Pelodiscus sinensis: one gene and its partners. The protein of the gene in region 2 interacts with the protein of the main gene of each other region in a pairwise test. Links are inferred from orthologs where the notes say so. Each region holds a gene or a part of one and is shown on either strand. Other genes may lie near its edges.

Region 1 (7,593 bases), on a different chromosome or scaffold from region 2:
CAGTTTGAATGACTATGCAGCATCTCAAACTGAGGCACAAGTCATTATGCATAAGCAGTTCACTGGGCAAACAGATGGCTTTAATCTCCAGAAGTGTTGCTATTTAAAAATCAAGACATCAAAGATTTTTTTAAATGTTGTTTGCAGTGGAATTTATAAAAAAAATGCAGTGCAAACAGTATCTAGAACAAAACCAAGTTCAGATACTACAGTTGTGATAAGATATACAAACTGCTGTAATAAACATTTAGTTTTGGGACATAGAAAAAAAGTCAGATAAAATGTGTTTTGCAGGCTACCCATGTTTTTACTATTAACACATTAATAAGCACTGAATTAGCTTAATTCTCCTGAATACAGATGGGTAAACTGAACTGAAGATTTGACACCCATCCACCTTCATTCCATGTTCTAACCTTGTAGTGTCCAACACGCTATCCACTAGCCACGTGTGGCTATTTGACTGGTTGAGTGTGGCTAGTTCGCTACAGCAGTAGCCACTATAATGGCTTCAGAACTGGTTGGACACCAAGGTTCTAATCACTAAACGACACCACTTCCCCAATAGCGGAAAACATGACTGTTACATGTGAGTCATATTACATCATTTTGGTATATCATCTTGCATATGTTTAATCTGAGCTTCAGGCAGACACTGGGCATAAATTAATCTTCTTGGGGAACAGAGTCCACACCTGATTCTAGAAGAAACATGACTCTGAACCCTTTTTGCCTTCTGATTACAAACTGTCTGTTAAACCACGGTGCCAATAGCTGTCAAGATGGCTCAACATTTATAGAACACTAGCTTATCTGGAGAATTTGAGGACAAAGGTTTGATTTCTAGGATAGCTGAGGTAATTCACAAACAATTGTGGTGAATCAGAGAATAAACAGTCCTCAAATACTGGGTGAAAGGGCTGCATTTCAGAGCAGACAGGGTGATGGATTAACCAATAATGATGAAGGCAAAGCACTAAATTGCTGAGTAATAACCTCCCTTTGCACCCCAGTTCTGGCACAAACTAAAACATCTGCAAGGAGGGGGTGGAAAAGCATCATGACACAAGGTTCCAGAAAGGCATACATTATACTCGCATGCTGTAAGGCTGAAGTGTGAAAGCATGCTGCCTCATCTTCCTTCGCTTGCATGTAACCACACAGACCTGTCCTGCTAAGAAGTAGGAAAGCCATTTCATCTCTGAAATTAGGCTTGTATGGCACTTCAAAAGGGTGTTGGGCTTTAAGACGAAAGATGGAAGCTGCTGTACAGCTCATGTGCTGGGATGAGCAGTTTCTACAGCCACCCCGGAAAATCAGCTTCTCAACCAAATGAATTCTATTTAGTGAGAAAAACATGCCAGCCTGGTACATTCCCACGCAGGAGACAGGCAATTTGGTAAACAAGTTAAAACAGAAGACCCATGAATTTTTAAAGCTAACAAATCATTTTTGCTCTGGATGCTTGTTGAAAAAGATGAAATTGTGTTTATCATTGTTATGGCTGTTATAAAAAGCGCTGCCCCTTTAAGAGCTGTCACCTGCCCAGTTTTTCCCCCCCTCCAAGAAGGCATCTGCAGTGCAGATCTTTGCAAGAGAAGCTAGCTTGCCAACACCGAGCCTGACAGGGATATAAAGAGAAGTAAAGCACAGCCTCTTATTTTGGACAGCTCCCCTTAAATGAAGGGGGGATTTAGCCACATACTGCTTTGTTTAATATGCTCTCCCTCCACCCCCACTCCAATTACTGAGCAGCAACATAACAAAAGGGAGCATTTGCAATTGCTACCACCCCCTCAAAAACACAGATCACTGCAAGCTTCCAGCAGTCCCCCACCGCTCTTCCACCTGCCCTGAGAAATGTTTGTGATGGTGAAAGGGATTTTTCTAGGAATTAAGGTATTTCCTCACTGCCATGTTTAGTATTGGAACAATGGAGGGTGTGTGTATATATATACACTGTACATCTTGCATCATCACCCATCCAGCCCTTGCAGAGGGGTGATCCAGTGGGTATTGTGCTCTCCTCAGCACACCCCCTGATTTTTGATAATTCCTACAGTTTTGGGCCTTAAGAAACAGAGACGGTAAAAGTCAGCCCAGACTGGGAGGCTCAGCAAGATCTGGGAGTGAACACCACTAAGGCAAAGGGAATCTGCTCTATCACCTCCCTTCAATTCAGACATTGTTCCCTGACCCAGTCCCCTTTTAGTTTGAACCATCACTGTCAAAATGAAACTAGAAAGTGCAACATAGTACATTCTGCAATCCTCACCACCCCAATCTGAGACCCCCACCTCAATCTTCTTCCAGCCACCAAAACTCACCCTGCTCTAAAAATCACACCTTTTACTTTACAAAATCCACCCTACCTAGCCCGAGTCTATACCCCACCACAGTTCTCTCCCCATGAGCCAAATTCCTGCCACCCTTGCACTTCAAAGCCCCTAACTATCCCCCAGTGATAGCAAGCCTGTAGCAAAGCTTCCCATGCCCCAACCTCGATCCAACCTTCAGCCCAAGTCCCCCTTACTCAAAATCTCAGCCCCCACTCACGCGCCAAACCCAAACTGCTCCCAGCTCCCCCCCCCACTCCTTTAGCCCAGCCTCCACCCCCAGTTACTTCCCTCTTTCGCCGCCCCCGCCGGCTGTTCCCTTCTCCCACCCTCAGGCTCCCCCCCCACACTCCCGTGCCCACGTTCCCCGCCCCCCAGCTGTCACCAGGCTGTGCCTCGCAAGCACCATGGGCTGTGCCCACCACTCACACGGCTGTTCCCCCTCCCCCCACCCCAGCTGTTCCCAGATACTCCACAGGCTGTTCCTCCCACTCGTCGCCCCCAGCCCGCTGCCCGGCTGTTCCCTGCCCCTCCCCCCGGCTCTTACCGGCACAGGACTGGGAGCTGGTTCCCTTACAGTCGCGGCCGCCCGCGGGCATCGGGGCGGTACCCGGCTCTGAGGAGCCCCCTCCGGCGGAGGAGGAGATATACGGCGACTGGGTGGCGGGGTCGGCCATCTTCGCGACAGCAACGGGAGCCTAGCACTAAACGTCCGTCCCTCACGGCGGGAAGATACCGAGTAGACTGACACCGCGCAACCGAGCTCGGCTGTCCTAGCTAGGACGGATTGCAGGATAGCAACTGCGCATGCGCCATGGGGGAGGGCCGAGAAGAAGGCGTACCCCGCGCAAGCGCTTGTAGCTAGAGGCTGGACGGTTGAGCACCAGGCGTGAGCCACTGGAACAGAGAGGCGCTCGCAACGCGCAGGCGTCAACGGACGCCAGGTATTCACTACGCCTTCTGAGTTTTAGGGTTTGAGGTTGCTTATTACGCATGCGCCAAATGTGGGCAAGGGCGGAGTGGGCTCCCCTTTTACGCATGCGCAATAGATCCGATTAACATATGTGCTTTAGGCTCCAGAAAACCAGACTAGGGCGGGTGACGCCCTGCTGAGTCGAGACCGGGCGGCTGCTGAATTGATTCTTTGGTTCGAGTTTAATGGGAAAGGAGAATTTGTCTTTCATTTATTCCCCTTCAGCCTTTCTCGTATTTTCTCTCCTCCCCTTTCTTATTTCATCCGTTTGCCTTTTGTCACTTTCCTTTTCTTTATTTTCCCATTCTCTCTTTTTGCTGTTTTTTCTCTTTTCTCGCAAATCAAAAAGACATTTAAATCCATTTCCTTTCAAACCAGCCCTTCCCGAGACCTATGGGGCTGGGACTTAACTCCCCACTGAGGAGTACAGGGTTGCTCCCCTGAGTGACTGTCAGGCAGGTATGGCTGCCTTGGTCATGTACGAGGTCATGGTAGCAGCTCCCTGTGCTTTGAGCTATTGCCTCAGGCTCTCTGCAGATGCAGGCAGCATTAGTTACAGCTGAATTATCCTTTCAAACTTTTCTCCACAACCACAGAAGCTGGAAACTTCCTTTGTTTTATAAATGGAAACTGAGCTTTTGATGCAGTCATGACTCCAAAAGCTGGCATCCAACATGTGCCAACAGCCCTGCATGGCTGCACCAGAGCTGCACTCATTCCAGGGATTTGCTGTGGCTCTGGTTGGAGCTATCTATGCTTTGCTGTCTATTGGTGTAGTTAAGATAACATCTTTTGTTTCCTTATCAGAGTGATTTTACCTTTCCGTTCTCTGGTTAAGCAATTGGATCATTGCATGCCTCACAGGACAAGATTGTCCGTGCCTTTTAGGGCAAAATGGAAGAGACTGTAGTTCAGATATTTGAATATATGGCGTTTCTGATGTATCAGCAGAAACTAAACAGTTGCTAATGTATATTTGCTTTCAAACGTATTCCCATCAGAGCTGTTTCTCTTCCTGAGTGCCTATTGGAGGGAATCTTTGTTTCCACATACAGGAATACTGCAGCATTATCTAAGAGGTAGGATCAGAACAGGGAGTGGCTTCTAGTCAGGTTGGGAACAACTGGGAATCAGGACTCCTGGGTTCTTTTCCAAGCAAAGTGTAATAAAATGTGGGGGCTCTTCAACCAGCTTCTTTCTACACTGTGTTTAAGAAACAGCATTGCTTATTGAACCCCCTCTCGTGCAGCATGGGGCCAGTCTGGCGTGTGAGTGAAGAGTGCCCCCTACTGAGTTACTCACTTTGCAGCACAGTGCCCTCCCCCACCCCCATCGTGTTGCATAGGGACACTAAAGTGAGTACTGACTGAACACTGAGTAAGCCCTGCTAGCAGCACAGATGCCACAAGTAAAATTGCTTGGAAACTGATGAAACTTTTAGGCATTTTGTAAAAAATGAGTTATTAATAAAAGTTGTGTAACCCACAGACCTAGGGCTCATCTACACTGGCCCCTTTTCCGGAAGGGGCATGTTAATTTCAACTATCGTAGTAGGAGGGAAATCCGCGGGGGATTTAAATATCCCCCGCGGCATTTAAATAAAAATGTCCGCCGCTTTTTTCCGGCTTTTAGAAAAGCCGGAAAAGAGCGTCTACATTGGCCCCGATCCTCCGGAAAAAGCGCCCTTTTCCGGAGGCTCTTATTCCTACTTCAAAGTAGGAATAAGAGCCTCCGGAAAAGTAGGAATAAGAGCCTCCGGAAAAGGGCGCTTTTTCCGGAGGATCGGGGCCAGTGTAGACGCTCTTTTCCGGCTTTTCTAAAAGCCGGAAAAAAGCGGCGGACATTTTTATTTAAATGCCGCGGGGGATATTTAAATCCCCCGCGGATTTCCCTCCTACTACGATAGTTGAAATTAACATGCCCCTTCCGGAAAAGGGGCCAGTGTAGACGTAGCCCTAGTGTGGTATACTGTTCCATGCAGTGGCACCTAGACCACAGCAACAGATAAGAACAAGAGGGCTACGTCTACACTGGCCCCTTTTTCGAAAGGGACATGCTAATTTTAAACTTCGGAATAGGGAAATCCGCTGGGGATTTAAATATCCCCCGCGGGATTTAAATAAAGATGTCCGCCGCTTTTTTCCGGCTTGGGGAAAAGCCGGAAAAAAGCGTCTAGACTGGCCCGATCCTCCGGAATAAAGCCCTATTCCGGAGGAGCTCTTATTCCTACTTCGAAGTAGGAATAAGAGCTCCTCCGGAATAGGGCTTTATTCCGGAGGATCGGGCCAGTCTAGACGCTTTTTTCCGGCTTTTCCCCAAGCCGGAAAAAAGCGGCGGACATCTTTATTTAAATCCCGCGGGGGATATTTAAATCCCCCGCGGATTTCCCTATTCCGAAGTTTAAAATTAGCATGCCCCTTTCGAAAAAGGGGCCAGTGTAGACGTAGCCGAGGCCTCTACAGCAGGCATGTCAAACTCGATGTAAATGAAAACTGATAGCTTTCAGGGCCACATTGTTTGACCAAAAAAGAAAAAAATTGGTTGAGGAAAAACAAACAAACCCATTTTAGGTGCCAGGCAGAAGGCACAAATACTGGACACCTGGCAACCATAGGGCTTTTGACAGTCATAATTATTTATTATTCTAGATTGTTTTAGTTATTTTATAATATTGCAATAATTTGATGTATAAAATTATTTGCTCATTAATTTTAAAATTAATTTTACATATTTTTTAATTTAAATATAAATTTAAGTACTTTTAAATGTTGAATATGCTGGAGAGCCCAGTGCAGAGTTGCCAGCCGGCCATACGTGCATGCGTGGTGCAGCCCAGCCCGCCGTGAGAAGTTGCTGTAGCGTAGTGTCCCGGCCAACTGTGAGCAGGCACTTGGCCACATGCTCTGAGCGGCCAGTGGGCTGCACTTCATTCTTTTATAAAAATGTAGTGGGGGGGCTGCAAAAAATTTCGATCAGGCTGCATGCAGCCCCCTAAATGCCAGTTTGACATGCCTGCTCTACAGCATGGGCTAAAAGTCAGCTGGCTTTTAGCTCACAGGGTAGAGGCTCCTATATTAAGCTTTAGACATCCCAGGTTCAAGTCTACCTTGTGTTGGGGCCTGTAGGTACTACTGGAATACATTAATAACAACAACAATACATGTGTAAAGGCCTGCCCACCTGCTGTGCATGACTCCTCTTCTACAGCCAGCCCACAAAGTTCCTTCCTTTTTGCTGTCAGTTCCAGGACTCAGTCTCATACCTTGGGACTCTTCCTCAGAAGCCAGGAAGCAAGTTTAACTACAGCATTTGAAGGAACTGTTTAGAATAGCTGCAAGAGAGCTGCAGTGAATGGAGCTATGGGAAGAAGCCACATGTACAGGCAAAGATAATGCACTGGCTAGAAGAAAGGCGCAAAGCCCAGCTAGAAGCATTGTGAGCAAAGGCAATGCACAGGTTGCAGGGAAGGGCCAGGCAGGGCTCATCTGTCTTTGTGGAAGATGCACCATTCATACAGAGCCCTATATGCAAAGCTCTGCCAGTGCTCTGTAATCAGTCAGGGCTCCTGCCTTGGACTCCCAGGAGCCAACCACTATCTCTTACTCTCGCAAGCCTGGGCATTATCCCAGGCTCTGCTCTGAGAATGCTTTGGGTGGCGTGGGGCCCAGAGCAGCCAGGTCCGCGGTTACTCTCCCAAGGAGGCTGCCGAGAGACATAGTCCTGGACAATAGAGCTACCCAAAGAGAGGCTCCCCGTGTAGCGAGGGCGCCCGCCCGGATGGTTGCTGGAATTTGTAGTCCTCTGACGCCATAGTTCGTTGAAATGGGTTCGTACCAGATGGGATGGCAAAGGGACTACATTTCCCGGCATGCCTCTCGGGGACGGTCGGCTCTCTGCCTTCTCCCTCCCTCCTGGCGATAGCCCCGCCCATCCCATCCTGGCCCCGCGGCGCGGGCGGGGGGGGTCGAGGAGGAGGCGGCTCCATGTTGATCCCTGCACGGTGGCGGCAGCAGCGAACGGTGTCAAGCTGGAGGCGGCCGGTAATGGGGTCCCCTCCCCCCTCCCGGGCAGCCTGGGCCCATCGGTGGAGAAGGGGGTATTAGGATCTCCTGTGGTGGGGGAGTCCCCGGTGGAGAAGGCGGGCGGGCCCTGGGGTCTGTGGAGCTGGAGTTCCCTATGGGGGGGGAATAGGCATTCCCCACGCACAGAGGGAGGCATGGGGTCCCGAGGGAGGTGCAGTCCCATAGACAGAAAGGGGATTTCTTATACGGAGAGGGAATGAGG
Region 2 (6,904 bases):
TTCCACGAGGATTAAGCCTAGTTCGAACTTACTAGTTCGAATTAAGAGCTGTGTAGACCCTTAATTCGAACTAGTGGGAGGCTAGCCCTCCCCAAGTTTCCCTGGTGGCCACTCTGGCCAACACCAGGGAAACTTGTCTGCCCCCCTCCCGGCCCCGGACCTCTTAAAGGGGCACGGGCTGGCTATGGTGACCGTGCCAGGTGCAAGCCTGCCAGCTCCCAGCCAGCAGACCTGCACCTGGCACGGATCGAGCCACCCACCCGATGCCCCGCAACCCTCCCCCTCTTCCCGGGACCAGGCTGGCGGCTCCCGGGAGCTTGCCCGGGACCGCAAGAGGCGGTCGCCCGCCTGGGCTAGTGTGGACATCGTGAACCTCGTCCACGATCTCTGCACTAGGCACAGGAAAGTGGCCAGCTAGGGCAGGAGAGCTGCCAGCCTGGCCACCCAGGAGCAGGTGTGCAAGAGAATCAAGGGGATCCACTGAGACCCCCGACCCTGAGCTCTGAGCATACAATGGCCGTCCTGGGTCAGACCAAAGGTCCATCTAGCCCAGTAGCCTGTCTGCCGACAGCGGCCAACCCTAGGGACCCTGGAGGGGATGGACCGAAGACAGTGACCAAGCCATTTGTCTCGTGCCATCCATCTCCAGCCTTCCACAAATCTTGGGCAGGGACACCAATCCTACCCCCTGGCTAACAGCACTCCATGGACCCAACCTCAATGACTTGATCTCACGTCCCTTTAAACTCTGTTCTAGTTGTAGCCTTCACAGCCTCCTGCAGCAAGGAGTTCCACAGGTTAACTCTTTGCTTTGTCAAGAACAACTTTCTGTTACTAGTTTGAAGCCTGCTACCCATTCCTTTCCTTTGGTGTCCTCTAGTCCTTCTTTATGGGAACTAATGAACTTTTCTTTATGCACCCTCTCCACCCCACTCATGCTTTTAGAGACCTCTATCCTGTCCCCCCTCCGTTTCCTCTTTTCTACACTGAAAAGTCCCAGTCTCTTTAGCCTCTCTTCATATGGGACCTGTTCCCAACCCCTGATCATTTTAGTTGCCCTCCCCTCTCCCACCTCCTTTTCCCAGTCTCCCCCAGTTTTGTTCAATAAAGACAGATTCCATTTTTGAACACAATTGTCCTTTATTTTGTACATCAAGAAGAGGGGCTAGGGAAGGGTAAGTGGAAAGAGGTGAGGGAGGAATGGGGTACGCGCCCCCGATGGGGAGGACTGGGCTGGCTCTGCGGGCTTCTGGGGGTGGAAGCTCTCCTGCAGCCCCCCAATTGTCCCCTCTCCGCAGATGGCAGCCTGTGGCAAGTGCAGCCGGTCTGATGGCCGAGTGCTGTGATGTGCCCAGTGTGGGTACTCCGGGCAATCCAAGCCAGGACTGCTTTGCAAGCGGGGCACCCTGAGAACTGGCTGTTCGGGGTGGGGGTCGGGACCCTTTAAGTACAGCCCTCGGCTAGCCTGAGACAGCATCTCCACGCTCTAAGTCCTCCTCTGATGCCCTGCTGGCACTGCTTCCGGCCATCCTTAAGCCTGGTTCAGGGTCCACTTAATGTGGACGCGCTAGTTCAAATTAGCAAAACGCTAATTCGAACTAGTTTTTAGTTCTAGATGCGTTAGTTCGAATTAGCTTAGTTCGAATTAACTAATTCGAACTAAGTTAGTTCGAATTAACGTTGTAGTGTAGACGTACCCTGAGTTAGTCTGTTACAGAAAAAAACAACAAATGGTCTGGTAGCACTTTATAGACTAACAAAACATATATATGGTATCATGAGCTTGCGTGGGCACAGCCCACTTCTTCAGATGACCGAAGTTATGTGTAGGGGAAATGAAAACCCGAAATAAATAGGAGAAGGATGTGGGGGAGAGAAAGATGCTTTGAAAAGCAATTTGGGATGATTTGCTTATAAAAGACAGTACCACAAAAACTTCAGAGGGTAGCTGAGTTAGTCTGTAACTGGAAAAACTTTTTTGCAGCACCTTAAAGACTAACAAAATACGTAGATGATACTATGAGCTTTCGTGGGCACAACCCATCTCTTCAGATGAATGGAGTTATTGAAGGTCCAGTTTTGAAATAAATAGGGGATGGGGAGGAAGGGGGGGGGGAAGAGAGGGAAAAAAAGGGAAAGAAATAGTCAATTAAGAGCCTCCATGAAGCTGATAGAGAAGTTGCAAATTGTTCTTAAGTACCCATTGTTTGGGTTTTTATGTCAATAGGATGTGGAATGTAGGGGCCATCCAGCCAATGTCTTCATTCATACCTTTGTGATTGGAATCAAACCTGTAAATGAAGTTAGGTTCCGAGGCTTCCCTGTGTATTTGGCTTGTGGAATTGGCCTGAAACGTACAGTGACTTTGAGATCCATTAATAAGTGCCGGAGCAAGTACCCTGAAACTTACTTTGTATGAATCTTTGAAGTAACTTAAAACAAGTCTTCTCTGCATGGACATGTAATAGTAAAAGCATTTTTTGTGCATAGTGCATGATTAACTCCGGTATTTTGCCCAACATTTCATTCCCCTTTTGCACTCCTTCCACAAATTCTGCTATTGAATGATATGCTGACTGGTCACCACCTTCCACTCCAGTAGGGGTTGTATTTCAGTGGTGGTGTCTGTATAAATGTGAGATACTTGTGGATAAGGTAAGTTCTATATAAACAGAACATTTATATAAAAAAGCCTTAAAATGCTGATATGGTATCTCATAGATGTTCTTCAATGTAGACTTCCTTATTTTATGATTCTCAGACAACTGACTAAAATGGCTGTTTTCCTTCTTCACCAAATGACTGATCCAGCAAGCTGATAACCCCTAGCTAAGATGTATTGAGCACCCTCAAGTCACCTTTAAGACAAAAGAAGTTGAGGATTTATTTTGCAATAAGTGCTCAATACCACAGAATCAGGTCCCAAATTACTACAAGGATCCCCCCCCCCCCTTTTCATTTAATGCATCTAAGGTTGGTCTGGCCCTGACTACTAGAAATTGGCCTAAAAAAATGTTGAATCATTAAACTGAGCCCAGAACAATTGATAAAGAAATTACCCTGGCATTATTCCAAATTCCTTTTCAGAGTTTAAGTTTTTAGCTGTGTCACTCACATGGAGGTGACTCATCCCACCATTTATAAAGCCTAGTGTAGGCTGGAAAGCTACTGTATATAGCCACGGTGCAGCCCGAGATGTGATTCGCTCCTAGCAGCAAGACACCGCAGCAGCCTGTCAGTGTCTGACAAAGAGGATTCTTCCAGCCTCTCCGTGTCACTTGTTTAATCCCCCCGCCTCTCGCAGCAAAAGTTTTTTTTTTTTTTTTTTTTTTTTTGCCACAAAATGTCTGGCACGCAGCAGACTGCTGTCTGAAGCGCTGGCTAGGAGCTGTTGCAAATCCTCCTCGGGGCGACACCCTGAAGTGAATCCATCCTCCCACTCCCTTTTATCTCCGTATACAACCTCCCTTCCAGCTATGCACACACAGAACCCCACCCGTCACTCTGGCTCCTCTCCCCCGCAGACACAAAGAGCTCCCAGTCTCCCCCTCAGCTAGAGACCCCCCCCTTTTCCCTTCACACAGACACCAACCTTCAGACGCACATGGCCCCCCGCACCCCCCCCATCAAATACCCAGCTCCCCTCTCACACGCGGCCGCCTCAGGGTGCCCCCCCCCCGGAACTCTTCAGGGTCCACCCCACCCACATTCTCCGCACCGAACTTCTCCATCCCAGCTCAGCCCCCAGCATCCATCCCGTTGAATATTCATAGAGCAGAGGCGGCAGCAGCCTCTCTCATTGGTTCCCCGTGTGGGTCCCGGCTTCTTCTCCCGTCCCATTGGCAGGCCGGGCTATCCCTCTCTTGTCTGGGTTAGCCCTGCCTCCCCGTCTACCCCTCCCCTTCCCCGTCTGACTCAACAGGGCGTGGAGGCTCGGCTGGGCACCGCGGCAGCTGCGCAGCCCCCCGCCCGTGCGAGCAGTCCGAGGAGCCGGCGGAGAGAGCCCCGCTCACGCATTGTTCCAGCCGCCTCAGCACCATGGACGAGCCGGACCAGTCCCCACTGGTCTCCTCCTCCGGCCCGGCCCGGCCCCAGCAGCCCCTCTTCCAGTACCAGTTCGTGCGGGAGCCCGAGGAGGAGGAGGAAGCGGAGTTTGAGGAGGAAGAGGAGGAGGAGGACGACGACGAGGACTTCGACGAGCAGCTGGAGGTGATGGAGAGGAAGGTGCCGGCCACGGCTGCGGTCCCCGCCCCGCTGCAGGACCTCGGCGGCTCCGGGGAGCCCCCCCGCCCTACAGCCCCTGAGCAGCCTCTGCCCCAACCGGACAGGAGCCCTTCCGCCGTCTCCTCCTCCTCCTCCAGCCCATCCCTCCCGCAGGAGCCCGAGCCCCCCGCCCGGCCTCCAGCCCCTCTGCCTCCCAAACCGGAGCCCCCTGCCCGCAGCCCCTTGCCGGAATCCCCCGCCGCCGCTCCCCGGAGAAGGGGCTCGTCCTCCGGCTGTGCTGGTAAGTGCCGTCCCCCGCTCCGGCTCCTGCTCCGGGGGAGGGAAGTAGCCGCGCTAGGGGGCGTGGCTGGCTTTGTGGCGGAGCTGCCCTGGGGCTGTGACGGGGGGACGGTGCCAGGGGCACCCCGGCTGGCTCCCCAGTGTTCCTCCCTAGGCAACGCCGGGCCCAGTCTGCGCTGCCGTGCGGAGCAGGGAGTTTCCCCTTTGTCCGCAGCCTCTGCTGGCCCCCTGTGGCGTCTCGGGCCCTTTTGGCTGGGCGGGGACATGCCCGGGCTCGCTGTCCCTGGGGCGCGGCGCGCGTACGAGCGGGGTGCTGCCTGCAGCGCTCGGGGAGGGGAGACATGTGCGTCTCTCCGCGTCCCGCCGCCCGCTCGTCCGCCTCTAGCGCAGCTTCGCCTTCCGTCCGCTGCTGCCCGCCCCCCGCCGCCTTCTCCGCTCCCCTGCTGGCTCGGCTCCCTTCCGCCTGCGCCCCGGCACTAGAGCTGCTCATTCGAGGCAGGTTCTTTGTCTTAAAAACACAGTTACATGGGGTCGGTGCAAATGCTCCTTGCGCCGCCTGCTGCTGCCTCCCCCCGGGCACTGCGCGCTGCGGGGGCACTTTTTTTTTGTTGGCAAGTCTCCTCTTGTCGCTGTCTGGAGACAAGGGTGGTGGCGAAGCTGGCAGGCTGCTCGTCCCACCCGTCCATTGTCCCTCAGCGCCCCACCTCCTCGACCCCGTCGCGCACGCTGGGTGGAGACTAGCGGAGTGGAGCGCCTCCTTCCCCTTGTGCCAAGCCAAGGAAAAGCTTCCTGCCGCCGCCCGGTTTCCGCCGACGCAGGAGTGATGTGGCTGCTGTAGTAGCAGCAGAGGGCTTGTATTGGTGCTGGGCATTGTTTGCACTTGAAACCCCCTCCCTCGTATCCCAAGCTACGGAGGGAGAGCAGGGAATTATTTTCAAAAGAATGGTTAAAGCTAAGAGCTAACTAGAGCTCATTAGGTACTGGAGGAGTGGTGCTTTTAAAATGGGTGACATAATTGAAAAACTCGGTGCTGGTGAATTCTTAAGTATTCAGTTCAAAGGCTATCTGAGACCTAAATGTTTCCCTGTTTGTTTTTCCTGTCTGCATCATGTATTCTTTTGTTTTGAATTTTGTAACTAAATTATCTATTGCTGTAAACATAGTGGTATTTTCCACTAGTACAGTGATGTGCACATTGAGAGTCCTATGCAATGTGAACATACTGCAGCATTGTTATGATCACTCTGTATTCTGCTCTAAGAATATGCATATTTATATACAATTTTTAAAGTACTATTTGATACTGGGTAGGGAAGAGAATGAGGGATAGTGAAAAACCACTTTCCTTATGTTTTAAGTCAATCTCTGGGAGATATAGTCAGGTGTCAGGCAAAATGTATAGATAACTTACTCACATGCCCTTACAAAAAGTGCAATAAAATATTGTGTGTCAATAGCTTTATTGTAAAATCTGTGGGAGGGGGGTCTTAGAAACTAGTAACATGAAAATAAAATCTGATCTCCAAAGAGAACCAATACAAAAGTATATACTGAGTACTAATTACATATATAAGTATGCATGTTATTGCAGGTATGGAAATAGATCACAACTACCCATCCTTTACTTTGGACATGGCACCTTTTAGAGACCATAAATGTCCTTGGTCTTTGTTCTGTTTCATGGCATCTCCAATAGGATTGCTCCTTACATTATATTGGGTACTGATTTAGTGCTGACACAAACAAAAGTACTGCTTTTAAACTGCCACCTGCATTCTTGCAGTAATACTGAGTCTTTCTTTGAAAGTGTCTAATCCCAAGTACTGCCTAAGCTAAGAGGTGCTCCTTGCATTGCCATCGTATTTTAATAACAGTCCTTCTTAGTTTGAAACTTGACAAGATCATAACCAAATAAATGTGACTTCTTAAAACAGTAAAAGTATATCAACATGCTTATATAGTTATGCTACCCTTTACTCATAATGACCCATGTGCAATACATAAGTAAAGCAAAGATATAAAAATGCAGTAAATCTAGATACAATGGTGAAATGGACTTTCTTAAACAAGTGTTTCTTCTGACCTTTTGTTATGCATCTTTTAGAAGAGCTTTGTTAAAAGGATGCCACCTTAAAATTGCACTTTTGTCTGAAACTAGCCACCTACGATTGTTACATATGGCACGTAAGATTGCAAATTTCCTTTAGTTATAGCAATGCAAACTTTTTCTATTGTTTATTTAATTTGTATATTTGACAGCATTGTGTTTACACAGATTTGCTGGCTTGTTCCCATGTAATTAGTTTTTGTGTTTGTGTTAGTTTTTGTGTTCCTCATTCACAAGCAAGGAGGGGTGAGAGATACTTTTTTAAAGAAATGTCATCCTCAAGTTATTGTACAA
Region 3 (7,849 bases), on a different chromosome or scaffold from region 2:
TTGCAGCACCAACTGAGTTGTAAACTCCTAGCAGTGTGCATAGAGGTATGCATCACAGACGTGCTGAACTCTATCCATTCTCCTTCTTGGTGGATTCCCATTAAACATTCACTAGTAATAGGCTATGGAGGACTTTTACCATGGCTGGGTGCGGATACCTTCAGCACACATTTTAGCATGGAGGAAGGTAGAGGAGCTGTACACTCTGCCACATAATGGGAGGGTTTAGAGCTTGCTCTGCCCTCTTGGTTGTACATTCTCCAGTCTCAGTGGGACATCACTTTGCATGGGATCATTGGCACGCTGCCTTCCATGTCACACCACACCTCCTAGCTCTCTATAACCCAGACCAGCTACTTGGCCTTAGGCCTTGGCCACTGAGGAACACAGTCGAGGATCCATTATGCAAAAAACTTGGTTTTTCAATGGACACTGAAAAGGAGACGGCTTGTTACACAGGGTGTGGTTTCCAGGAAACAACATGCTGTGGGAGAGTTCTGGACCTGTGGTGTCACCGCGTCCCCTGAGCCTGCCAAGTATGTTCTAAAAATAACCGGTAATGGGAGAGTACAAAAGCCATTAAAGCAAATACTAAGACAAAATGCCTGAGGCTCTATTTAACACAATGGAGTGTTTTACTAGTGCAACCTCCTTCTAAACAACAACTGGCATGTGACCTTTCACGGACACATGCACATAATGAACCTGCTGGCTTGTTACAGGATGACTTGGTGGGAAAAAAATTGCCCTGGGAAAGGTAGAGGCTACATCAGCATTTAGCTAGCTGAGGGAGTTCCAAACCAATCAAAGGAAGGGAAATGTTGAAAGCATGGAAAAATAGGAAAAGAAGCTGGTTTTAATGGTTGGGAGAACAACTGATTCTCTACATGTTCCTCCCACCTTCCCTTGACATCCCTTTGCCTTGTCTCCTGCAGTGCAAGATTGAGCAATCCCTGCATAATCAATGGAGTTCAACCACAGATGAGTCTGACTCCGTGTATTTGCTACTAGAGGGGAGAATCTCAAAGCCACTGAAGTCAAAAGGGAAGGTTTGCCACAGAGTTTAGTGGGAGCATGAGGAGGCTCAGAGCACACAACTGCTGATTCATTATTTATTATCATAGCACCTGGGAGCTCCAGTCCTGGCTCAAAACTCCACTGTGCTAGGTGCTGAACAAAACACAGAACAAAAGAGACATTCCCTGTCCCTAAAGAGCTGGCAATCTAAGTATCAAAGAGAAAACAGATGGCTCTAGAAGGATGAAGAAACACAAGGAAAACAATGAGACAATATTGGTCGGCATCATAGACACTAACATTGTTAAGTTGGTTATAGTTTTAAGAAGGGATTTAACAGAGGATAATGAGATAGTTTGGTTGCTATTTACAAGAAGCACCCCCCAGTTGTGAGGAGAGGCATGGGAAAAAGCATAAAGGTGTTCTGTTTGACAATTTGGCAAGAGGACAGTGAAGGCTAGCACTGGGCACTGATCAGAGGAGAGTATCAACATCTCAATACTGAATGACAGATGAAAGGTTGGTGGGGATAGGCTGTGAAAGGCCTTAAAATTGTGTTTTATGTAATAGAGAAGGGGGTACCAATGCAGGGACATAAAGAAAGAGGTGACAGGGTTCAAGGGACAGGCTAGGAAAAATGACTGTGCAAGTTACTTCAGAGCCAGCTATGCCCGTTCTGAAAATATTGTATTATATACACATAAATCTCGTGACATGTATGAACTTTCCAGCCAGAATCATAATCCCTTTAATTTATAAGGGACTTCATGTATATACCTTCCTATAAACACAAGGTCCCTTATACATGAAAGGAATTGTGATTCTGGCTGGAAAAATTCTTGTATATCAGGAGATTTCAAAAGCAACACCCAACAGTTTTGCAAACAACACATGCTATGTATGTAGGACCATTCTCGTGGTCAGCATCTGCATACAATATACCTTAAGAAACAGAGAGAGGTGGGGAAAAAATAAGGACCTCTAAATGAACTACATTCAATGAGAAGTTAATTAATATCACATCTACACATTTTACAGGCTTTTGTATTTCCAATATATGCTATCTTCCACCCAGAATATAATTATAAAAACTTTCAAAAGTAACTTACAATAATCCTGGGACATTTAACAGAAAGAAATATATACTATGGAGTGTTTTTTTTTTATTTTACACCCATTCTGGCTTCATCCAACTATTATTCTACATTTGGGCCCTATTAAAAAGGCAGTGCTGTGTTCTTAAGTCATTCACAAATAACTACATGTATTCGTGTTTCTCCCTACACAATGATCTGAGGATACATTTTCTCTCTGAGGAGGAGGTTAACACCTGTGTTTATCTTATACATACACCCAGCATTACTGCTTTATTGTTCCATAATAAAGATGGAAGTGCTTCTGTAATAACAATACAAAATAATAAATATAAGAAAAAAGGGAATTGATGCTTTATATTTGGTTATCTGAGGCTTCTTCTGGCACTTAGAAACATACATCTGTTTGTGGTTCTAAATACAAAGTAACACCGGTATTTGAAACACAAGATTTATTTTAAAGCTATGTCGCTAATGAGGTTCCAGAATGAAAAAGTTTGCTTCACCAGGAGGTATCTATGGAACATTCAAAAGACTGGACTTACCTATTTTCCCTTAAAGCAGCAGGACAAGTCAAACAACAAGTGAAATTTCCCAAGTGTGCTTTCTTCACTGATGTTGCATATGTTGTGACTAATATGACTACTAGGTCAAGAGTGGTTCCTTGGTTTTCAATCCAGAACAGGCTCCTAAATACTGATTTCCTTTTGGATCTGTTGAGTTCACACCAGCTGAACAGACGACAGCCATACAGACCCACATTTCACAAATAGGAGTGGTGCTTTCTCGCACCCTCTCCGTACTAGATGATTAACTGTCCCAGAGAACAAGGAAGACTGCTAGTTCATAAACATGTGACAATCACCAAAGGAATGTTAGCCAAAGAAGTGGCAGAGAAAGCAGACTGAATCACTCCCAACTGTGACTGCTTATCTACTTCTTCCCCAACGATAATATTTCCTGAACATGTAGTCACCTGTCTGGGTATTAGCACTTCCTTGAACTGGCCAATTTTCTTGCTGGCAAATTCCCCCCCCCCCCCCCCCCCCCAATTAATTCAACTTTCCAGCGCAAGAACATAATTCTTCCTGTCCTGCTTAAACTCAAATTCTGGCCATAAATATTTTGGATCAGCTAAAGAAATGCATCTTTTCTACTGCCAATAGGCTCACAATGAAAAGTAAACTAACCATCACAGCTGATACTGGTAATGTTTCACCTCCAGGAAGTACTGCACTGGTAGCAAGAAACAGAAATACATTTTTGGTCAGACCTCACACAGTCAGTCATTACTTCATTTAACAGATCGATACAGCCTCAAGCTGATCCCCATTTCATTTACTAGGATTCCAAAACTAGGAGAGCTGACAAGTTGCCATGTTATACTTTTGTAGGTGGGATTAATATGCATTATGAGGTCAACTGTTCTGAGACTAAAAGCGGAAGCCTGCACCTGTATGGGCAGAACAGCATTGTTCATTCACAAGTGTATACTGAGTGATATATTAGCCAGTTACATGCCACTCCGGTGCGCAAACAGAGGCAAATTAACACTGGAGAGCATTTCTATTAAAACGGTGCTTCATTGACAACAAAAGATACAAAAGGCACTTCTATTTTTAAAAAATCTTTAGTGTCCTTTTAAAGGCCACTTATGATGTTGTAATGCTGATTTCAGTGCCGTATTATGTATTCAGCGCCCATATGCAGCTGCCATTAACATCTCCTGCATGTAGGAATCATTAAGACATAATATGGCCCTAAGTTTACTGGTTTGCACTGAAGGGCTTCCTTCCCTGCGTTCTTTAGGGTGAATCCAAACTCACCCTCACTGCCTGCAGGGGGCCCCTTTGCATCAGAAACAGAGCAATTCCCAGTAGTGGCAATTCCATCAGTAAAAAAACTAGTAGTCCTGTAGCACCTTAGAAACTAATAAGAATATATATGTAGTATCATGAGCTTTCATGGGCAAAACCCTAGTTAGAGCAGGATTTAAAAAAAAACCCTTTAATATCTTCAAAAACAACAAGGAGTTTTGTGGCACCTTAGAGACTAACATATGTATTTATTAGGGCATAAGCTTTCATGGGTAAAATCCACGTCAACAGATGAATTGGAGTGGAGTTACACTAGGCATGGGTATATATATATATATATATATATATATATATATATATGGACAACACAAGAAAGAGGGTGCTTGTGTAAATGAAACTCCACCATGTATACTGGCCAAACCAGAGAGTGTCTATGTCAAAGGATAAATGGACACAAATCAGACATCAGGAATGGTAAACCTGTAGGGGAACACTTTAACCTCCCTGAACATTCAGTAATGGATTTCAAAGTAGCCATCCTTCCACTAAAGAATTTCAAAACCGGATTACAAAGGGAGACAGCTGACCTGGAATTCATTTGAAAATTCAGTATCATCAGTTTAGGACTGAACAAGGATCTCAACTGATTAACGCATTACAAAGGCAATTTCCCCTCTCGATATCCACATTTCCACATCATCTGCTGTGAATGAGCCACTTCAACTCTAACTTGATTAGCTTAGTTACACAAGTACCCTCTTTCTTTTGTTGTCCTTATAGATATACCTATGCCTGGTATAACTCCACTCCAATTCATCTGATGAAGTGGGTTTTTACCCATGAAAGCTTATGCCCTAATAAACATATCTGTTAGTCTCTAAAGTGCCACAGGACTCCTTGCAGTTCTTGCAGATACAGACTAACATGGCTACCCCTCAGAGATTTTAATATCAGGCGCATCTCAAAGAGAGCAGTGAAAAGAGCTGCAATATTAAAGGCACAACACTGGAAATAGTTATCGTAGCAAAGACTAGATTGAAAAAGAAAAGCCAACAGGACATTGACTTCACTGAAGCCAGCATAAGAGGTTTGCAAGAAGCAACCTATTTGTCTGCAGTTTTAGGTACTTATATTGCCTCTAATCACCACAGTACCTAAGCACCTCGGCTGTGTCTACACTGGTGTGATCTCAAGCAAAAGCTGCCGCTCTTGCACAAAAACTTGCTGCCTGTCTACACTGGCCGCATATTCTTGCGCAAGTAAACTGATGTTCTAATGTATGAAATCAGGGCTTCTTGCGCCAGAACTCTGACGCTCCCACTCAGAAAGAAGCCTTTTTGCGCAAGAGCTCTTCCAGAAGAGGCCAGTGTAGACAGGCAAACATGAATTTCTTGCACAACAAAGCCCTATGGTTAAAATGGCCATCAGAACTATCTTGCACAAGAGAGCATCTACACTGGCATGGATGCTCTTGTGCAAAAGCACATGCCAGTGTAGATGCTCTCTTGGGGTATGTCTACACTACCCCGCTAGTTCGAACTAGCGGGGTAGTGTAGACATACCCTTGTGGAAGAGTTTTTGTGCAAGAAGCTGCCAATGTAGATGTAGCCCTCAAACGTCAATATTTATCTTCAATACTTCTGTGAAGTAGGGCAGTGCTGTTATCCCCATGTTATAGATGGGGAATGGAAGCACGAATAAACTTTCCCAAGATCACACAAAAAGTCTGACTAAGCAGAGAACTGCACCTACGTCTCTCAAGTCCTGGAGTAGTGCTCTAATTATGAGAGTCTAGATCATACTTCTCTATAGCCCTCCTGACTTTACTACTCATGGGAGCAGGGCCCAACCTGCCTACCTTGGGAAACCCACACTGGGGTCTATTAGCATTTGGCTGAATGCATGCAAAAACAAAAAGGCCCTGAACGTCCATCTGGCCGAAATGCTATGTATTGCACACCCATCTGCGTCACCTCTCCTGGATAGCATTCTGATACCTCCATCCCTCCCGCAGGGCACCAGAGACTTAACAGGGATTTTCAGAACTTAATTTTTTTTTAAGAACATTATATAGACATTGCTTGCAATCCTTTTGTCAGCCCCTGGGCTGCTGCTCAGACAGTTACCATCTTCTCAGCCTGCCAGCCAGATGGATTTTCAGGCTGCTGATATATGGCATCCAAACATACAACTGGGCCTCTGAGTATCAGCAGAAGAAAGAAAGGGAGCAGGCCTTGTGGAATTGTTTTTCTCTAGTCCTGGGTCACCTGTAAAACATCCAAATAGTACCCCTTTTAGTAACGGCTCACATCAGCCTTGTATAAGAATATACCCAGTCTGTAGAGTGCTTGGTGACTCCATCTGACCATAATGTGCCATTAAAAATGGAATATTCTTTTAGGTGGTGTTACTGGTCCCGTTGATGATTTTGCTTACCAAGCACTTCCCTTTACAAAATGCTGTTTTCAGTTGCTTGTAACTTGTCAAACTTTAGCCATTAAAGCTGAAATTTTCCATGATGCCTCAGGCTGAATTTCTTTCTCGCTCTTTCTTTTTTATAATTGCAGACAAAACCAGCTGTTTCTGAGAACATGGCTAGTAAAAAATACATGTTTTGTTCCTGTTAAAAAAATTCTCGAGATCTTTTCTTTGAAAAAGTCTACAATCCCATTTTCCTATCCCTGTAACACCATGACTGTGGTTTGGAGCAGAGACTTGGGATGAGGCAGAGGGGTTGCCATTTTGCCTTTCAGTCAGCAGTCAGCAGGAGCTGACAGATTTGGCCAAGTTCTAAGACTTGGGGCAGGGGATATTAAAGTTCATCCATGATCAGTGGAGACTTGTCCACACTGGGCATGCTCCTGCCCAGGGCTGAGCAGAACTTCCCTTGAAATTACTGCAGGCCATGATGGGTCCCGGCACCTAAACTGAGAGCAAGGAGGCTGCCTCTCCTATGCTTTCAGTGACCCTTGTCTGGTGCGGCCTAGGAATCACAGAGGAGATAAGAGCCAGATTTTGCAGGAGACTGGAGGGAGTAGGGAACAAATTAGGAATTTTCAATGGTTACATGTTTACACGCAGGGGAGGGAGGGCAGCTCCACAAGCAGCGGCTCCTGCCTGCCCCCCCACACTGTTGCCTCTGATACAGACACAGTAGCATGGGGTAGGGCTGCAGTAACCATGAAGGTAAATCGATGAGCCCAGGTTCATCGGTTAACCAATTACATTAGCACATGCCTACTAATAATACATATCTTACAGAACATTCATCTCCCTAATACTCCAGGGCTGTCACAACCTTGGAGAAAGATTTAAGTCATCAAATCCAAATGTCTTGCGTTTTGCAAATTTACTCTCTACCGCTTGAGTTTCTCTAGTCCAGCACCTTCAAGACCTGTTGGGTGCTGAATCAGAGAACTTGCCAAAATAAAGGAGGCCAATATTTTAATGAGTGGGTCTCTCTATTTTTATTTCACCAAGGTGAATAAACAGAACAATGCTTGCGATACTAATTAGTAATACGACTGTATTGATACATCCTATATAAGTGTATGTCTAACCAAGGCTTATCAGCTCTCTTCAAAACAGTGTTAGTGTTGTGGTGACATAATTTTACTGTATTGGCACAAGGAAATAAGTAGATAAAGCATAAAAACCATGCTTATACTTAGCACTATTACCAACACTTCCACTGCTTACTGGACTCTTAGAAGACATTTAGGGGTAAATTAGAGCTAAATAAGAGCACAGAACATGGAAAGCCAGGACTGGTGGCTGTAAAGAAGTTTATAGAACCACAGAAAACTTGGCCATACCCATACCTGGACATCCAGCTAAAGTCATGCTGGATTACGGATGTTGCCAGACTAGACAGGTTCAATCTGTACCATCCTTCCCATAAAAATATCTTATTCTTACTCC
Region 4 (7,234 bases), on a different chromosome or scaffold from region 2:
ATTTTAACACTTGTTCTACTCTAGAAGAACACTTTTGTGGTATAAAAGGTATAATGGAGGCCAAACACCTCTTTCACTCAGCTGACTACAAAATGAAACAGGCTTAGACATTACTGGAATGGGAGGACAGCTGTGCATGAGAAAAAGAAGAGAGTAGTTCATTCTACTAATCCCCGGCACTTGCCAGAAGTATGGCTTACCCTGTTCACATATAAAACTGATGTGGGACGTGATGGTTCAATGAAGTACAGCAAAAATAGTAACAAGAAGCAAAATAACTTTATTCTTTTTACTATATTTATAAGCTTCAGGGAGTAGCCGAGTTAGTCTGCATAGAATAAACAACGAATAGTCTGGTAGGACTTCAAAGTCTAAAGAAACATGTAGATGGTATCATGAGCTTCCGTGGGCAGAAGTGGGTTGTGTTAAATTCGTTGTTTTTTAAGTTTATACTCTATTTATGTTAGAGTAGCAATCAGAAGCCCAAGTCAGGATCAGGGTACCACTTACATGAACACACGTTCGGAAAAGCTCACCAGACGCATTTAGTAAGTTTGCTAAAAGGAATGTGCTGAAGAATAATTTTGTTCACTGTAAAAAGACTAGAAATAAATTCCAGCTATAATCAGTTCTTTCCTCTTTTTCTGCCTATTGTTTTAGTACCATTAGAGGGGACCCCGGGGCTGGTGATGGGTGCCAGCTGCAACTTCAGACACAGGATTCTTTCACCCTGAGTACAGATGTGTTCAAACTTTCCCCCTCTGTGACTCTCACTGTTCTGTCAATATACCTCAACAATGACCAGACTGTTGGGACCCCCTCCCAGAGCTAATAAAGCATCTCAATCTCCATGCCCATTCAAACCTCTAGATCACCAGTAAGACTGGTGATAAAGATCTCAATCAGTGCCATTTGTGGAAAGTTTTATGCAGTGGACAGCAATCTATTAGCAAATGGACTGTGAGCGTCACAATCATGTCATGTAAGCAAGTCGTCCATCAAATGGTAAGTAGAGCCAACCACCACAAAACATTTCCACTTATGTTATTTTGTTCTGACCATGCCAATACCCCTTTTGTGTTCCTCTCTCAAGAGTGTTTGTGCAAATGAATTTCAATGGTACTAAATTCACTTTGTGAACATTCAAAGCATCATATGCAAGTATGCACAGAAACAAAATACTAAGTTCACACCAATAAATAGTTCTTCCGAGGCATGGAACAGAAACAATACCTTGAAATAGGGATGTAAAATCTCACTTAATTGGCTAACTAATTAAATATGATGTTTAACTGATTAAAGGGAGGTAGATAGGGGGCTAGGCTGGAGCAGTGCCCCTGCATGTGATGGGGTCGGGCCTGCTGCAGACAGTGGGGCTCTGGCCACCCACAGCTGCCCCTGCCTGTGGTGGGCCCCACAGGGCTGCAGCACTCCCCAGCTGGGTGGAAAGGCAGCTGCTCCAACCCCCATCAGTTAACCAGTTAAGGGTGATGCTTACCAGTCAATCTTTCACATCCATACCATGAAACATAACTAGGAAATCAAGTAACCAAAAAAAAAATGTAGCAAATGTCAAATACTCTCAGGCTGGCTAATGATTAAGCCAGTGTACATTTTTTAAACTACAGTTCCTATGCGTGGGTTGCCTGTTGATGTACATCTGATGAGCAGAAAGAGAGATTAAAGGTGTATGAGTCACAAAAAACTTCATTCACAACACTGCTCTGGTAAAAGCTTTTGGTCACTGACAGCCTGGACTGTTTTTAAGTCTATCACAGGAGCAAGAAAGCTGCATAGATTCTGTGAACAACTGCTTGAATGTCTGTACACCCAAACTGCATTTGATCTATAAGCAACAGCCCCATAAGCACTGCTATTTAACCCACCCATCAAAATGTTTGCTCTGCTGATGTGTCTTGCTGCATCGACCATTCTATTCCTGTGCCCAGGGACACAAAATCTGAATCAGTAAAATTGTGGGTCTAAAATGAACTGTGCATGTTGGTAAATGCAATGTAATCACAACAGCTACAGGTGCTTCAACTTACTGAAAGTGCCATTACAGGGAATTAAAACAGCAGCTTTTGGGACAGGAGATCACCGCCCCCAGCACTCTCTGCATTTCTGCTCCCTAATTTATGCCTCTACCCCAGCATGGGGGACTAAGAGCACTCCTCTTCCTCTGCCCCCCATTCACTCCCCCCAGCACGAAGGGGGGCAGACACCTCCTCCTCTACCCCCCATTAACTCCCCTCCCCAGCACGGGGGGGGGCAGACCCCTCCTCCTCAGCCCCCCCATTAATTCCCCTCCCCAGCACGGGGGGGGGCAGACCCCTCCTCCTCAGCCCCCCCATTAACTCCCCTCCCCAGCACGGGGGGGGGGGCAGACCCCTCCTCCTCAGCCCCCCCATTAACTCCCTCCCCAGCACGGGGGGGGGCAGACCCCTCCTCCTCAGCCCCCCCATTAACTCCCTCCCCAGCACGGGGGGGGCAGACCCCTCCTCCTCAGCCCCCCCATTAACTCCCCTCCCCAGCACGGGGGGGGCAGACCCCTCCTCCCCAGCCCCCCCATTAACTCCCCTCCCCAGCACGGGGGGGGGCAGACCCCTCCTCCCCAGCCCCCCCATTAACTCCCCTCCCCAGCACGGGGGGGGCAGACCCCTCCTCCCCAGCCCCCCCATTAACTCCCCTCCCCAGCACGGGGGGGGCAGACCCCTCCTCCCCAGCCCCCCCATTAACTCCCCTCCCCAGCACGGGGGGGGCAGACCCCTCCTCCCCAGCCCCCCCATTAACTCCCCTCCCCAGCACGGGGGGGGGCAGACCCCTCCCATTCGCTCCCCTCCCCCTTACCGGCTCCTCCCGCGCGGCGCTGCAGGGGGAGAAAGTGTCCGAGGCTCGTTCCCGCATCCCCCTCCCCCCACGAGTGAGGAGCGGACCCAAGAAAGCTCCCGCTTCCGGGTGCTGTCTGCGTCGGGGGGGGGGGGGGGGGGGAGGGACGGAACGTCAACCACGTGACCAGGAATGAGCGGTCGCAGCTGACGGCGTCCATAGCTACCGAGGCGGAACAATGGCGTCACGTGGCCTGGTGGGGCGTGGCCGCTGCCAGGGGGTGCGGGTCATATGACTTGTACCGCGGGTAGCACTTGGCGTTGGGGGCGTGCGGTTCCAGCTGTGGTTCCAGACACGTGACTCCCCTTTCCTTCCACGTGGGCCTTTCTCACCTCTGCCTCAGTCCCCAGCCCGCCTCTGTTCGCTCCCCTCCCCCCACCCCCATTTCCCTTTCACCCCCTGCCAGGCAGCGTCCTCCAGGGCTACCCTGAATGGTGCTGCTAACCCCCAGGGTTCAGACATCACACACCAGGCCCTCCCCCACATTATGAGAGGAGGGGGGGGGAAAGAATTGCCAGATGTTGTAAAAAAGGAAACATCTGGGGGGTGCATTTAGAGTGCACTTAGGACAAGTTTTAAAACTTTTCTGTGCCTCTGCAAGGGCTGGACATATGTTTAATGGAAGTTGAGATGCTTACATAATAAACATGACTCCAAAAGCTGGGACTTTAAATCACCATGACAATCATTGCAAAACTCCAGATAAAATATGAGAGTTGGCACTAGGCCTCAAAACTCAGCCCATTCCAGTGCCCCTTTACAGTGATTTTTTATTAACTCTAGCGAAAGCCAATGGACACAGATAAGCTTGTAGATATTTTTTATTCATATGAGGAAATGGAGAGAGGAAAATTCTGAAAAGTCTCTGTCATATTATAAGATGGCTGATTACAACAGCTGCATAATTCAAATTATGCATCACTGGCATGGCAAAATGTTTCCTTCGAACATAAGATGCATACGTTCTCTGAAAGAGGACAGTGAATTTGCATTCTCTTTGGGGGGGGCAACGGGGGAGAAATCCTTTGTTGAACATCAAGCAAGTGTATTTGCAGCTGTTGTGGTTTAAAACCAACAGATGGCTGTGTTTGGAAGTATTGCTATGTGTGAGAAAGGCAACTGAAGGCTGATTAAATGTATTTTAATAACTAGAAAAATAAGAATTCTTCCCTAACCCAATGCTGTAAAAAGAAGAAATATTTATTAAGAGAGTCCAAATTTTAGAAGGAACCAATTAAAGGTGACCTGTAAGTTGGAGGAGAACTTGGTTTGTGCCCTTTTTTTCTTCTTAATCTTCTTCAATTTCTCATTGAATTCTGGCATGCATCAAAGGGCAACATTTGAACCTTAATTTGTGAATTAGAAAAGCAAATTACCAGTAAAAGCTTTCCAAACCAATTTTTATTCTGGTTCCTGCAGGACCCCCACCTTTTATGCTTGTCAACAAGAAATAACTGTGGATGGCTGCTGCCATCTACAGAAAAGGAAGTATATAATTATTGTTCAATACAGTGTGCTACAATTTATACCCTGATCATGCATTTAACATGCTGACATCACAGGTGAGTAATTCCATTTAATTTTAACGGGACTTTGAGTACATGCCATTAAACATCTGTATATCTTGCTCCTCTAGCCCCAGAGCACACTGAGGCTGAAATCCCTGCCTAGAGCTTGGGCTTCTACTGGGCATTCAGCCAAAAGCCCATCTTCTGCTGACAGTGCTGTGCCAATTCCTAGTAGCTCCACAGTCAGGAGTTCCCATTCCCGGTTTGTTCTCCTACATTCCTTGCCTGCAAGAACATTTTGTCTAGGCCTCTTCCTCTTCCATGAGCCTCTGCTCATTGGAATAGCTTCTGAACCAGCTTCCCTGAGGAGCTTCTGCTAAGGAACATCTGGAGCTTTCTGAGTCCTAAGGAGCCAGTCTGAAATTTTGTCTCAAATGGTGTCTGTTAAGTTAGATCCCAAGCCGCCTTTCCCATTTAGTAGAATGAGCTGAATAACTGTAAGCTGCAGGCCTGTCTTGCCCAGCCCAGGAAGCACTAGTGCCAGGATCAAAGTCTGTTTGGGTCATTCCTTCGGAGCACAGTTTTATTTTTCACGCATAAGATTCACAAACACGGTTATGCAAACTGGCAACACTATCAGGTAACCAGGGACAAATTGTGAGGTGGCAACATTGGCAGATGATTCAACTACTTAGGATAGTTAAGTCCCATGCAGACAGTGAAAAGTTACAAAGAGATCTCACAAAACTTGGTGGGTGACTGTTAGAGTTGCCAGGTGTCCAGTTTTGAACCGGACAGTCTGGTATTTGTGGGTTCTGTCTGGGAAACAAATTGAGAAAATACCGGACATATAAAATGTCCGGTATTTTCTAATTAGGTAAGTTTTATTATTATTAGGAGTATCAGTACGTAGTTGCAAACTGCCTGGCTGCGTGAGTGTGTCTACCAGCCAGGCAGTATTAAACTATGCCAGGGGGTGGGAGGGAATCCCCTGGGCCGGACTTGCTCGTGCTTCTCCGGGACCGTGCGCGGGACGGGCAGCGCTCCAGGATCTGCATGCGCCTGGGTCAGTCCTGCTCCCCACTGGCTTATTCTCTCCCTCCACTCTCCCCCTCCCCTCCCCCACCAGCCCTGCTTCCTACCAGCCGGTATGTCCCCCTCCCCGCCTCCTCTCCACCAGCCCTGCTTCCCGCCGGATGGTTTCCCCTCCCCACCTCCTCCCAGCCAGCCCCACTGCCCTCCCGGCCAGTCCCCTACCCCCATTTGAGATCAAATGTGTCCGGTATTTTTTTTGAAGCCACCTGGTAATCCTAGTGACTGGCCATCAAAATGGCAGATGGCGCAACACATGGGGAGGCACAAGGGGCCACATGCACCCAAATGTGAGGTGGGGGGGCCCAGCTAGCCGATGGAGGGGAAACTAGCAGTGGAGGGGGCCTGGCATCTATAGGAGAGGTGCACTCACCCACAGCAGCAGGGGAAGATGAACAAGGCAGCCCCACTGTTTTGCTCTCCTGGCCACGTGACTCCACTCGCGCTGGAGAACGCAGGGCAATCCTCTCCTGTCTCCAGAGTGGCGCAGCTGGGAGGCTGCCTTGCCCCATGTGCCCCATCGTTGCCAGTGAGTGTGGGGCAGCGGGAGATATGGCAGACTCGCTATTCCCCCAGATGGCTTCAGTTCGAAGCACTTACTTCGAAATAGAGCACTCGTCCTCCAACTTCCCTTAGTCCTCGTACAATGAGGGTTACAGGAGTCGGAGTAAGAAATCCTCCAGCTTGACAGTATTTTGACATTATGTCAAAATAACTGCCGGCTGTGTAGACGTGGACTGTGTTATTTCGATTTATCGCTAGTTATTTCCAAAAAATGTTGGAGAGGCAGCCAAAACAAGCTAGAAGAAATGTTGGGAACCATTGGCAAAGGCATAGTTAATAAAGCAGGAAATAGCTTGTTGCCTTTGTATAAATCCATGGTACACCCACATTTTGAAGACTGTGTGCAGATGTGGTCACCCACCCCATCTCAAAAAAAGATACTGGAATTAGAAAAGGTACAGAAAAGGGCAACAAAATTATTAGGGGTACGGAGCAGTTTCCATCTGAGGAGAGATGAATACAGGCCCATACACAGGAATTTCTGGGGGTGTGTGCTTTTTTTGTAAATGTGGACTGCACCCTTTGCACACGCACATACACATACACAAACTCTCTGCTGCGTATGGGCTTGCACAACTAATATTAGCCCCTTTTTTCCTGGTTCCTGATAAAAGCCTTCTAATTTATAGCTACCAATATTTGTGGCAGGACTGTACTTTACCCTACCTATCAAACTGCAATCAAATGATTAAACCACGTGTCATTCAACTGTGGTCCATGGACTACAAGGAAGGCGGGAGGGTGTCCGGTGGATAACTAGGGGTATGTCTACACTACCACCCTAGTTCGAATGTAGTCAATCGAAGTTGCAAATGAAGCCCGGGATTTAAATATCCCGGGCTTCATTTGCATCTTGCCAGGCGCCACCATTTTTAAATCCCCGGTAGTTCGGACTCCGTGCCCGCGGCTACACGCGGCACAGAGTAGGTAGTTCGAATTATTTAAATCCCAGGCTTCATTTGCAACTTCGATTGACTACATTAACCACCCTAGTTTGAACTAGGGTGGTAGTGTAGACATACCCTAGTTGATTACATGATGACAGCTAGTAAAGGGAATTGAAGGACAGCTCAAAATGCTTCTAATAATAACACCATCACTTTCCCCTGTGAAGCATGACTGTACTTGCCGTGGGAATGTTCTGTGATAACAATGAGAAGGAGCATGGAAGGACACTGTCC

The links.
Region 1: the proteins of RTN4 (region 2) and RTN3 interact in binary tests that used the Homo sapiens proteins (3 or more experiments, as listed by UniProt). The link is inferred for Pelodiscus sinensis from reciprocal best matches to the Homo sapiens genes RTN4 and RTN3.
Region 3: the proteins of RTN4 (region 2) and SYT16 interact in binary tests that used the Homo sapiens proteins (3 or more experiments, as listed by UniProt). The link is inferred for Pelodiscus sinensis from reciprocal best matches to the Homo sapiens genes RTN4 and SYT16.
Region 4: the proteins of RTN4 (region 2) and SPG21 interact in a two-hybrid assay, tested with the Homo sapiens proteins (2 studies listed by BioGRID and IntAct). The two-hybrid records come from large-scale screens. The link is inferred for Pelodiscus sinensis from reciprocal best matches to the Homo sapiens genes RTN4 and SPG21.

Annotation. Positions count from the first base shown.
Region 1 is NC_134721.1:33,994,041-34,001,633, forward strand, and holds the start of RTN3 (reticulon-3), read right to left. Parts: upstream 3,016-7,593; 5' UTR 3,014-3,015; coding exon 2,884-3,013; intron 1-2,883. UniProt on the Homo sapiens protein: May be involved in membrane trafficking in the early secretory pathway. Inhibits BACE1 activity and amyloid precursor protein processing. May induce caspase-8 cascade and apoptosis.
Region 2 is NC_134713.1:175,891,366-175,898,269, reverse strand, and holds the start of RTN4 (reticulon-4), read left to right. Parts: upstream 1-3,900; 5' UTR 3,901-4,038; coding exon 4,039-4,504; intron 4,505-6,904. UniProt on the Homo sapiens protein: Required to induce the formation and stabilization of endoplasmic reticulum (ER) tubules. They regulate membrane morphogenesis in the ER by promoting tubular ER production.
Region 3 is NC_134714.1:14,093,618-14,101,466, reverse strand, and holds the start of SYT16 (synaptotagmin-16), read right to left. Parts: upstream 3,003-7,849; 5' UTR 2,657-3,002; intron 1-2,656. UniProt on the Homo sapiens protein: May be involved in the trafficking and exocytosis of secretory vesicles in non-neuronal tissues. Is Ca(2+)-independent.
Region 4 is NC_134724.1:6,636,343-6,643,576, reverse strand, and holds the start of SPG21 (maspardin), read right to left. Parts: upstream 3,010-7,234; 5' UTR 2,851-3,009; intron 1-2,850. UniProt on the Homo sapiens protein: May play a role as a negative regulatory factor in CD4-dependent T-cell activation.